3 linked regions of the Rattus norvegicus genome follow. The protein of the gene in region 2 binds, or shares a complex with, the protein of the main gene of each other region. Links are inferred from orthologs where the notes say so. Each region holds a gene or a part of one and is shown on either strand. Other genes may lie near its edges.

Evidence for each region.
Region 1: Cul7 (region 2) and Obsl1 share a complex: the UniProt entries of both Homo sapiens proteins name them as parts of the 3M complex. The link is inferred for Rattus norvegicus from reciprocal best matches to the Homo sapiens genes CUL7 and OBSL1.
Region 3: Cul7 (region 2) and Ccdc8 share a complex: the UniProt entries of both Homo sapiens proteins name them as parts of the 3M complex. The link is inferred for Rattus norvegicus from reciprocal best matches to the Homo sapiens genes CUL7 and CCDC8.

What each region holds. Positions count from the first base shown.
Region 1 is NC_086027.1:84,428,805-84,432,448, reverse strand, and holds part of Obsl1 (obscurin-like protein 1), read left to right. Parts: intron 1-1,619; coding exon 1,620-1,892; intron 1,893-2,629; coding exon 2,630-2,905; intron 2,906-2,979; coding exon 2,980-3,267; intron 3,268-3,421; coding exon of another isoform or gene 3,422-3,644. UniProt on the Homo sapiens protein: Core component of the 3M complex, a complex required to regulate microtubule dynamics and genome integrity. It is unclear how the 3M complex regulates microtubules, it could act by controlling the level of a microtubule stabilizer.
Region 2 is NC_086027.1:21,823,717-21,827,360, forward strand, and holds part of Cul7 (cullin 7), read right to left. Parts: intron 3,437-3,644; coding exon 3,301-3,436; intron 3,209-3,300; coding exon 3,012-3,208; intron 2,759-3,011; coding exon 2,515-2,758; intron 1,502-2,514; coding exon 1,264-1,501; intron 1,171-1,263; coding exon 1,065-1,170; intron 75-1,064; coding exon 1-74. UniProt on the Homo sapiens protein: Core component of the 3M and Cul7-RING(FBXW8) complexes, which mediate the ubiquitination and subsequent proteasomal degradation of target proteins. Core component of the 3M complex, a complex required to regulate microtubule dynamics and genome integrity.
Region 3 is NC_086019.1:86,806,339-86,810,447, reverse strand, and holds the start of Ccdc8 (coiled-coil domain-containing protein 8), read right to left. Parts: upstream 2,842-4,109; 5' UTR 2,337-2,841; coding exon 381-2,336; 3' UTR 1-380. UniProt on the Homo sapiens protein: Core component of the 3M complex, a complex required to regulate microtubule dynamics and genome integrity. It is unclear how the 3M complex regulates microtubules, it could act by controlling the level of a microtubule stabilizer.

The sequences.
Region 1 (3,644 bases), about 63 Mb from region 2:
CAGCTACCCTATTCTTCACAGTCCTCTTGCCTTCTTTCCTGACTTGCCCAAGGAGCCATGCCCAGGATGAGCTGCTTAGGGATTTCCACTCACTATACCCCAGATGGAGTCCACAATTGCAACAAGACTCCTTCTCTAGTTCCCAGCCCTGACCAGACATCACAACCACAACCAAAGCACCATAGGCTGCCTCACTGTAAAGTTCACACAAATGCCACCTCACCTCCAGGCCTGAGTGGATCAAGTCCCACCACACCCAATGGCTTCTGTAGTTATATCTTTCCCCCCATCTCACTGCCCCAACCTCTGCCACAGTCATTCCATACAGAAGAAGCTGCCTTCTGTAATCCTCTGGCCTTGTCATGACTGGATCAGACATTTTGAAAAAAAAAACGCCGTCTTGTCTCCACAAGACATGGCTGTTTCTGAGCTCAAGTGTACTGTGTGGCTGGGTTTGGCCGGGTTTGGCCAAGAACTGAAAAATCTTAGGCAGGAAAGCCAGCAGTTCCCTTGCCTGACCACAAGGGGGCCAGGTGTACGCTAGTCTTCTGGAAACTATTTGTAGGAGAGCAAGAGGGGGTGGTATTATGGACAGGCAAGCTTGGGCTTGCTGAGGGTCTAATAATACTGACTTAGCTCCTTTTCTGTGGAAGAGTGATCTGCCCCTGAGTACAAGCTCCCTGAAACAGTGTAGCATCCCTGGGAAACTTTAGACAGGTCTTAACAACTTTGGTATACAAGGATTCAGTCCCTAGTTGCTTAGGAGGCTTGGATACCCCCTCTCCCCCACCTGCAGCAGGAAGCCTGCCTAGGACAGAATGCTCCCTCTCCTGCTCCAGGAGCTGTAGCTGTCCCGGACCTTAAGGGCAATCCATTGCTTAATCATTTCATGACTCAGTTCTTTCATCTGGAAAATGGAGACAGCATAGTGCTTTCCTCCAGACATCAGTGTGAGGCTCAACAGTGCTCAGAACTACGACTGGAGCATTAGGAAGTGTTTGTTTTTTACAGATCCTGGTTCCACCCCTGCACAGTTTTGAAAGCCCCCAAGCCCTCATAACCAAAAGGCTTCTTAAAAGTTCAATAGTCGTCCGCTATGATGGTTTACACTTTTAATCCCAACCCTCAGGAGATAGAGGCAGGTGATTCTCTGTGTTTTCCAGACTATCCTGGTCTACATAGTAAGTTTCAGACCAGTCGGGGCTATGTAGTGAGATCAGAAGTTTGGCAGTTAAAATTTATTTCACTAAAACTGAGTTTAACTGATGCATACTTAATTATTCTTTAATTATCTGGCAGGGCTAGTATATCTGTATCTCTGTGAGACTTGACTGTATCTTTTAGTATATCTTGCTGAGGGTAAATATATTAGACAGCAAAAATGTCAATGGGAGTAGTTATAAGAGGCAGAGGCAGGACCTGAAGGTATCTACCAAATGAGGAAAGTCCAGAAGATTCTGGGTTCTGTAGATGACTGGTCTTGAGGATTTCAGGGACAGACCAGGAACTTACTGTTACTTATTACTCAGAATGCAGGGCCGTTATTAACACGGGCCAGCAGGGGCCCCATGCTCTGCGCGGTCATGCTAGTTGACAGTTGTGCTTGCCGTGTTCTGCAGAGCCCCCTGTGCGGATCATATACCCCCAGGATGAGGTGACCTTACATGCTGTGAGTCTGGAATGTGTGGTGCTCACATGTGAGCTGTCCCGAGTGGACGCTCCTGTACGATGGTACAAGGACGGGCTAGAGGTGGAGGAGACGGAGGCCCTGGTGCTCCAGAGTGATGGGCCTCGTCGCCGCCTGGTGTTGCCTGCGGCCCAGCCGGAGGACGGGGGCGAGTTTGTGTGTGATGCTGGGGATGATTCAGCCTTCTTCACTGTCACTGTCACAGGTGGGTAGTTTCCGCAGACACCTCCAGGGAGGTAAAGAGACGGGGTGCTATAGGACTTACATCTACTCTCCCTACTCCCCCCGTTTCCCTTCCCCCATGCCTCTGCCTACCAGACTCCTCAGTCTTAGTCATCAGAGAACTCAGTTCAACCCGGGACAGTGTCCACAGGCCTGGTGAGAGGGAGCCTAGCAGTTAGGATCATTCATTCATTCATTCATTCATTCATTCAGCAAATGCTTATCTAACAACTAGCGTATGCTTGGCACCATCCTAGACGCTGAGGTACAAAGTGAACCAGTGAGCTACAAGTTTCAGTGTTCGTGGAACTCATGTTGGGAAGTGGTAGTGAGGCAAAAAAAATTTAAAAAAAATAAAAAATTTTTTAAATTTTTAAAAATTAAAAAAAAGAAAAAAGGAAAAATGGATGGTTTATGGAGGAGCAGTAGCTGTCAGAGGCAAAGCATAGAAAGGAAGGAAGTGTGGATGGATCTTTTTGGGGGGTACCAAAATTTTTGGGTAAGTAGTTTTTTGGGGGTCACCAAACATTTTTGGAGGTACCAAAAGCTTTTTGGGGGTGGTGGATCTAAGGAGAGGTGAATGGATAAATTTGGGTATAAGTCTGTCTACAAGTCCTTTTTTTTCATAGAAGCCCCTCAGGTCTTTACCATAAAGTGTATTGGAGAGGTAGGGAGAGGGCATCAGTCAAAACCGTATGCCCTTTTCTGCCCACCCACCAGCTCCACCAGAGAGAATTGTGCACCCAGTGGCCCGATCCCTGGATTTGCAGTTTGGGGCTCCAGGACACGTGGAGCTACGCTGTGAAGTGGCCCCGGCTGGGTCTCAGGTGCGCTGGTACAAGGATGGGCTAGAGGTAGAAGTGTCAGATGCACTGCAGCTGGGTGCGGAGGGGCCCGCCCGCACTCTCACCCTGCCCCACGCCCAGCCTGAGGATGCCGGGGAGTATGTATGTGAGACCCGAGATGAGGCTGTCACCTTCAACGTCAGCCTGGCTGGTGGGTGTGCTGGGCCAGCCTGGGGTGGGGAGGAAGGGGCTGGCTTGGGCTTACGACCCCCTTTCCTCGTACAGAGCTTCCAGTGCAGTTTCTGGCTCCAGAGGCAGTCCCAAACCCGCTCTGCGTGGTTCCTGGGGAGCCAGTGATGCTGAGCTGTGAGCTGTCCCGAGCAAGCGCACACGTGTCCTGGAGCCATAATGGGAACCCTGTGAAGCAGGGTGAAGGACTAGAGCTTCGAGCTGAGGGTCCTCGCCGAATCCTCTGCATCCAGGCTGCAGACCTAGCTCACACAGGTGTCTACACCTGCCAGTCTGGGACAGCCCCTGGGGCCCCAAGCCTCAGCTTCAATGTCCAGGTGGCTGGTGAGTACAGCCTGGGCAGAAAGCCTTCGTAGTCCCCATATCCAGGGCTCCCCCACTTCCTAAGACATCATATCTTTCCCTTGCCCCGTTTCCCCAGCCTGTCTCCCTGTCCTTCTCATTGCCCTCCCAGTGACCCCTAGCTCTGACCCCACAGAGCCCCCGGTGCGGGTAGTGGCCCCCGAGGCAGCCCAGACGAGGGTTCGAAGCACCCCAGGCGGGGACCTAGAGCTGGTGGTGCACCTCTCCAGGCCAGGGGGCCCTGTGCGCTGGTACAAGGACGGGGAGCGCCTGGCAAGCCAGGGGCGGGTGCAGCTGGAACAAGCCGGGGAGAGGCAGGTGCTGCGGGTGCGGGGGGCACGGAGAGGGGATGCTGGGGA
Region 2 (3,644 bases):
TGGTTTAGGATCACCGCATAGTCCCGGCTCGTGGAGGTCAGGCGGTGTAGGAAAAAGATTAGTTCCTGGAGCACCTGAGCGGGGATGTCAATCAAGGGGACAGTGAAGAAAGGGGCAAGCCTCGGCTACATGGATAGCTGTGGTGACTCATGCCCACTCTGTGCTGGGAGCCGAGCAAGGCAGTGTGTGGAAGTAATATAAAAACCAGGTGCAGTTAGAGAAACAAGGTCAAACCTATGGGAAGAGCCTGCTTGCCCTCTGGGGCTCTTAGCCACCAAGTATGTGGGGAACAGGTAGAGGATCCTCAGTTCTTGGACTCAGCTGTGGCTCCCAGGAGCCAGCTGCAGGATTGGTGTTGAGATGTGTAGGCCCCCAGCCCAGACACTTAATGAGGGCTAGAAGGGAAGAGAAGGCCTGAACTTCTCTCTGGTCTAGCTTGGCAACTGAAGGCATCGACTTGAGATACTCATTAACACCATACATTTGACCCTTCTGAGGCCTCCTGTACCCAGGACCTCTTATAGAAAAGTCTGCTCCCTCACTCCCTCTCTGAAAAGATTTCGTAAAGTTATTTAAATCTTATGTGAGAGTATTTGCCTGCCATTACACCGTGTGTGCATGTGACTAGAAAGAGGTGTCTACCTCCTCCCTAGAACGAGTTACAGATGGTTGCGAGCTGTCCGGTGGGTGCTGAGAACTAAATCTGGGTCCTCTACAAGAGCAGCGAGGCTGCTCCCCTTCCTCCTGAAGGCCTGGCTGAAGCCCGCCGAGCTCATTTCTATACGCTTAAGGAAGCAGGGGACAGACTATAGATTAATACAGTGGGTTACCAGCAAGGACGCTCAGACAATGAGAATCAGGTAAGAGCCAGAATTCTCAAGGACTACCTTGTGCCATTTTGACTTGTGAACTTTTCTGAATATTACCTATTTAAAAAACATAAGATTTTCATTTTAAAGGCAAGAACACAAAGACTCTGTTGCATCCTCCAAGCCTCACCCGGGGGTCTGCCTCACTGGGGTCCTCCCACCGCCCAGCATCTCCCCAGAGTGGGACAGGGCTACCTCTCGGTCAGTATTGGGGGACCGAAGGCAGGTCATACAGGCATCCATGGCTTCATGCCAGGGAAGCAGCAGTGCCTCAGGGAAGTTCACCAGCTGCATCAAGATTCTAGGGGGAGAGACAGAAACGGGAAGGTAGAGAGATAATCAGGTTGGTGTGAGGCCTTCCTGTGCCCAGCCCTGCCCCTCACTGCTCTCCCACCTCAGCGCAGTCAGGTGCAGGGCCTTGTTGCTGGCTGGAGTGTCCAGACTCCGCATGAGTGTGAGGAAGGGCTGGGGCTCCTCCTGCAGCTGCAGCAGGCATGGCTTGACCTCATTTTCCTGGGGAGCCTCAGAGCTGAGGGCTCGCTCCAGGTCCACAAGGAGCTTCCCAGATGGGCCCAAGCCCTCCACCAGTTGCCGCAGGGCAGGGCTGGCACTCTGAGATGGGGGATCTTGGGCTGGAGGAACAAGAGTGGGGTAAGAATTGGCAGTACCTGTGTCAGGCAGCTCGTGACCCACTGCAACTCCAGCTCCAGCCATCTGACAGTCTCACTGGCCTACTTGGGGTATCTGCATTCACACGCACGAACCCACATACAGACACATAATTAGAAATAAAATCTTCTAGAAACAATAACTGAACACAGTGGTTCATGCCTGTGGTTCATACATATGGTGGAGACAGCAAGGACCAGGGCAGCAGGAGAACTTGCCCCCCCCCCCCCCCAAAAAAAAAAGAAGAAAAGAAAGAGAGATAGAGGAAAGAAAGGAGGAAGAAAAAGTGTGGCGGATGGGTCTACAGAGATGGGTCAAGATTAAGAACACTTGTTTTTCCAGAGGCTCCAGGTTCAATCGCCAGCATCCACTTGGCAGCTCACAACTAATTAGAACCTCAACTCCAGGAGAGCCGACGCCCTCTTCTGGCCTCTGTGGGCACTGCATGGACGTAATAGACACACAATACCCATACGAATAAAATAAAATAAAAATTTTTTTTTGGCTTGGTACTTTTTTTTTTTTGGTTCTTTTTTTCGGAGCTGGGGACCGAACCCAGGGCCTTGCGCTTCCTAGGCAAGCGCTCTACCACTGAGCTAAATCCCCAACCCCGGCTTGGTACTTTTGAGACAGGGTTTCTGTGTAGCCCTGGCTGTCCTGGAATTTGCTCTATAGAGCAGGCTGGCTTCAAACTCAGATATCTGTGTGGGCCACCACACTCAGCTAAAATAAAATCAATTTAAATAAAAGATAAATGACAGCTGAGGAACGACATCTGTAATTGTCTTCGGGTCTAGACACACAGGTACGCACGCGCGCGCACGCACACGCACTCACGTGGACGCACATATAAAGTTTCTGGGACTGTGGGTAGGGTATCTCTTTCAGACAGGACAGCACACTGTTAGAGGAGACCCCCCTGTGACGACACTCTCCCGAAGGCAGGTGTCTCTGCTGCTGTCTGCGGGACACTCACCTTCAGCGCCAGCCTCATCTTCAGAGTCCGTTTCGATCCGGAATAGGTTAAGCTGGTCATCTAGCACAAACGGGCGGTTTCGCTTCCCTACCAGGACTTCGGGGCCGTACTTCCGGTACACATAGCAGTTGAACAGGTCCCTCAAAGCGCTGTCATCAAGTTGTTGAGGCAGAGACAGCATCAGGTCCTGAGCCAACTCAACAGGTACAGTCAGCTCGGGCAGGATCTCAAAGTCCAGAACATGCTGTGGGAAGAAAGTCAGCCCGTAGCAGCTGAACGAGCAGATGGTGAGAGGTCCTCTGGGGGAATGGGGAATCTCCACACACATCCACCATTCTGAACCTCTGGTAGCTGACAGCCCACCAACACTTGCATCTTTGAACTTCCCAGACTCCTCCACTGTGGGCCCCTGATGCTATCTGACCTCCACGTCCCCTCCCGAGCTTTGCAAATGTTCCAGTCCAGACCTGTAGGGGGCGCCTCTGAGGAGTGCCTACCTCCCCCTCCAGGAACTCCTGAAGGAGCTCCACCACGTGCTGCCGTTCCTCTGCGTTTAACTTCTTGATGAAGAAGAAGAGCTCCCACCACTCGGCCTGGGTCAAGTGCTCTCTCTCTTCCCTGTCTTCCTCCTCGGGCACCACGTAAGGCTCGGCAAAGAGCTGAGCTATGGGCTTCCAGTGCTGGAATGGCGGGGCTGTGAAAACGGGGCGTGCCAACGGCCAAGTCACTGCCTGCCCAGGTAGGCCTCTGCTTCTCGGCTCAGAGCCAACCCCTCCCCGAGCTCACCTACACCCAGTCCTCCATGGACCATTGCCCCCTGGTCATCAATGTCAACCACATCCTCAATGTCTTCCTCAAAGCCCAAGATCTCAAGCATGTGCCAGTGTACCCAGTAGGTATGGCCTGTCGAATCCCACAACACCTGGAGGATTGGAGCGCGGGAAGAGGGAAGGAGAAGAGGATTTGCTATTAATCAGCTGAGGCCCAACGCTGGGGCTCATGGTCTATAAGGTGACCAAATAGCAACACTGGCTATAGAATATATAGAATGCATAGACGACAGTGTATATACAGACAGCCCCACCCTCTCTTCAGCAATGGCCTCTACTTCCTTTATTCTAGTTCTGTTT
Region 3 (4,109 bases), on a different chromosome or scaffold from region 2:
ACTGAGCCAGATGTAGTGTCACACACCTGTAACCTCATGCTCTGGGCACTAAGGTGGAGGACTCCTGTGAGTTTAAGACCAATTATATATGGAGCACCTGGCCATCAGGGCTGCATAGCAAGACTCTGTCTCAAATAAAGATATAGAGACAGAGAAGGAAAGAAAAAGAGAGGAGAGAGAAGGAGGCAGGGAGGGACAGAAGAGAAGAAAGTAGAGAATGAGTGTGGAAAGGGGAGGAAAGGTGTGGTCAGTGCTGCCTGCCCCTGCAGCCTCCATTTTCAAATGTGGAGGAAGAGGCAGCCCACAGAGGAGAGAAGTATCCTAGCAGCTAACACCACGCAGGCAGGGTGCAGGCAGGGTGCCGGGGCACTGGGCTTCCCTTACAGCTGTTCTTCTTGCTCTCTGTGTTCCATGTCTGCTCTGGTGTCAGCCCTTAGCACCCTGAGGCTCCTAGCCTCTCCCGCCCCTGCCCTGGGGCCTCTCTTGGGCAGGGTTGGCAACCTGGGAGTGTGCCAGAAAGCTTTCCTGCGCATGTGAAACCAGGAGAAGCGTCCTGGGGTCTGGAACCTCACTGTCTTTACCTGTTTCCGGGCTCTAGATCCCGAATCAGCTGAGGCTTCCAGTATAGCTTGAGGTCCAGCCTCCTCCCTCTGGTCATGGAGGACCCCTGCCCTCTGGTCAGCTAGGACCTCCACCCTCTGATTTTCTGTAGCACCAGTGCTTTGGTTAACTGGGCCCTCTGCCCTCTGACTATCTATGGCTTCTGCCCTCTGGTCAGGTAGAACTCCTGCCCTGAGATTAGCTGCAGCTTCTATCCTTGCACTAGCAGCAGTCTCTGCTCTTGGAGTAGCTACAGCCTCTGCCCTTGGACTAACTGTAGCCTCTGCCCTTGGACTAGCTGCAGCCTCTACCCTTAGACTAGCTGCAGCCTCTACCCTTGGACTAGCTGCAGTCTCTGCCCTTGGACTAGCTGTAGCCTCTGTCTTCTGGTTAACTTCAGCCTCTGCCCTTGGACTAGCTGCAGCCTCTGCCTTTGGACTAGCTGCAGCCTCTGCCCCTGGACTAGCTGTAGCCTCTGCTCTTGGATTAACTGCAGCCTCTGCTCTTGGATTAGCTGCAGCCTCTGTTCTTGGATTAACTGCAGCCTCTGCTCTTGGATTAGCTGTAGCCTCTGCTCTTGGATTAGCTGCAGCCTCTGCTCTTGGATTAGCTGTAGCCTCTGCTCTTGGATTAGCTGCAGCCTCTGCTCTTGGATTAGCTGCAGCCTCTGCTCTTGGACTAGCTGCAGCCTCTGCTCTTGGATTAGCTGCAGCCTCTGCTCTTGGATTAGCTGTAGCCTCTGCTCTTGGATTAGCTGCAGCCTCTGCTCTTGGACTAGCTGCAGCCTCTGGCCTCTGGCTAGCTGCAGCCTCTACCCCATGTTCAGCTGCAGCCCCTGCTCCCTGGTTTTCTGCAGCCTCTGGGGGCTCTTCAGCTGTCCCGTGAGCCGAGGGTGGCACCTGCTCCTTCCTGCATCGTCTCAAGGAGACCCACTTGATCTTGGGCTTCCAGCGTCTAGTAATCAGTGTCTGGTCGCTCAGGTCTCCTGTGTTTCTGGAGCTATCATCCAGGTCTGGGCTGGTGTGGCTGTGTCTCATTTCTCCAGCCCTCTCAGCTATGGAGGACTGCTGGGCCTGGCCCACCTCGGAGCCTGATCTGGGCGCCCAGCCTTTCACCCTCTGTTTCAGCTTCCCCCAGGACACCTGGCTGACATACTCCCGCCATCTGTCCCCCTTGGATGGCTGGGGCCCCAGGTTATTCTCAAACATGGGCACTGGAAGATTGACTCGGCGCCGTGGAGGAGGCGCGCTGGGCTTCTTCTCCCCGCGGCGGAGGAAGGCCTCTACCAGCTCCTGATCATCCTCGCTCTCATCGCTGCCCAGGAATTTGCTGCCCAAGTAACTGACCGGCATTTTGCGCACCTTCCTGGTCTTCCCGGAGCCCCTGTTGCCTTTGACTTTGGATGTATCGAAGTCACTCAACTCGCTATCGCTGCCATTGCTGCTGTCGTAAGTGCCTACAACCAGCCGAAGTGGAGGAGTGACCATCTGCGGGACTCTCCTCACTCTGGGCACCTTGGCTTTTTTGGGGGGCTGGGGTGGATGTGGAGTACTCTTTTCGATGATACGAGCCACATCTTCCAGGGTGCGGCCCTCCTCCTGCAGAAACTGGATCAGCCGCTCCCGAAACACAGCCTCCTTAGTGGCAGGCTTGGAGATGACTCTCCACACGCCCCCAGCCAGCCGGACCTCCCGGGGGATGAGCAGATAGTCAACATCCTCCCCAATCTGCAGCATCCCCACCGTGGAGTCCTCCTCTTTGCGGAACACCTTCCCGATCTTCTTGAAGGTGCCCACAGGCCTTAAGGCCTCCACTAACACATCCAGATCGACATCTTTGCAGACGTCGGGGACACTCCAGAGGATCAGGCAATCGGGAGAGGGGAGGAAGCCCCAGGGGAACCATCCCCCCACGTGGCTTTTCTCGAGAGTCTTTAAGATCTCCAGTGTGGACTCCCGAGTTGGGGGCAAGAAGCCCAGGCTCTCTCGGCTTCTAGTCTTGGGGAGGGAGCAGTGGAGGGTCCCAGCAACTCTGCTCACGCAGTGTCGCCTCCCTGTAATTTTCTCTTCAGGCGACAAGTCCAAGTTGGGTTCCCCCAACCCCCTCGGAGTTGTATCAAGGAGTTTTCCAGGATGCTTACATGAACCGAGGCACGCTTAGTCCCGAGGCTCAAAGCTCAGTCCAAACTGGAATCGCCAGTGTCCCTGCTCCAAGTTGGAAACGCACGAGCTCCGATCGCTGCTCCCTTGCCCCAGACACCGGGATGAAGTTGAAAGTTCGTGGGAGGACTCTGCAGACAAAGATGGCTCAGCGTGGCCGTTCAATATGGCGAGGCGCTTAAAGGCCTCCGCCCAGCCCCGAGGAGGGTCTCCCGCCCCCAGGCAGGCCGCCACCCTCTCCAAACTGACCTTGCGCTCAGTCTGCGGTGGAGCTGAGAGCGGCAGGAAGTTTCTGGGCGCCCTCCCCTCCTGGGTGAGGCCCACCTTCTCCTTCTCATCTTACACTCTAAGCCTGGGAAGACTGGCAGCGGGGCTGTCCACTCCCTTCAGGGCAGCCTCCCTCTCCTCCCCCACAGAGGTGTGGCTGTCCCTCAGAGCCTCACTGGGGCCAGGGCTTCTCTTAGCTACAGCCAAGACCCACGTCATCATCCTTCCCGAAAGGCAACGGGGGTCCCAACCTGCCATCCTTGACCCAAAAGCCCAAGAGGTGTGGGTGCCGATGTCCCAAATCCTTTGAAGGCCATTGCAATTATGAATGTCCGTTTAAAATTAAGGCGATGGAACCAGAGAGGTGGCTCAATGGTTAGGAGCATGGGTTGCCCTTGCAACCCCTTAACCTGGATTTGACTCCCAGAACCCATATGATGGCTCACAACCCTCTGTATTTCCAGTTCCAGGGGATCCAACACCCTCTTCCGATCTCTGTGTGCACTTACATACGTGATTTGCGTGTGTGCACAGAGAATACATTCATGCACATAAAAAGGGGGCCCACAAGATAACTCGGTAAAATGGGGTTGGGGATTTAGCTCAGTGGTAGAGCGCTTACCTAGGAAGCGCAAGGCCCTGGGTTCGGTCCCCAGCTCCGAAAAAAAAAAAAAAAAAAAAGAACAAAAAAGATAACTCGGTAAAAACATGCAAGCCTCATGGCCTGAATTTAATCCCAGCATCCACATAAAACCAACTCTATAAAGTTATTATTCAGTCTCCACATGTGCACCCCTACACACAGATTATACACATATAAATTCACACACGATGAAAACGTTTTTAAAATAAAATCTTTTCTTGGGGCTGAAGAGTCGGCTCCTTGGTTAAGAGCACTGGCTGCTCTCTCCGAGGACCTGGGTTCAGTTTCCAGCACCCACATAATAGCTCACAACCATCTGTAACTCCACTTATAGGGAATCCAACACTCTCACACTGATATACATCAAAACACCAATGCACATAAATATTTTTAAAGCAAATCTTTCTCTTTTTTAAAAAGATTTAGTATTTTATGTATTT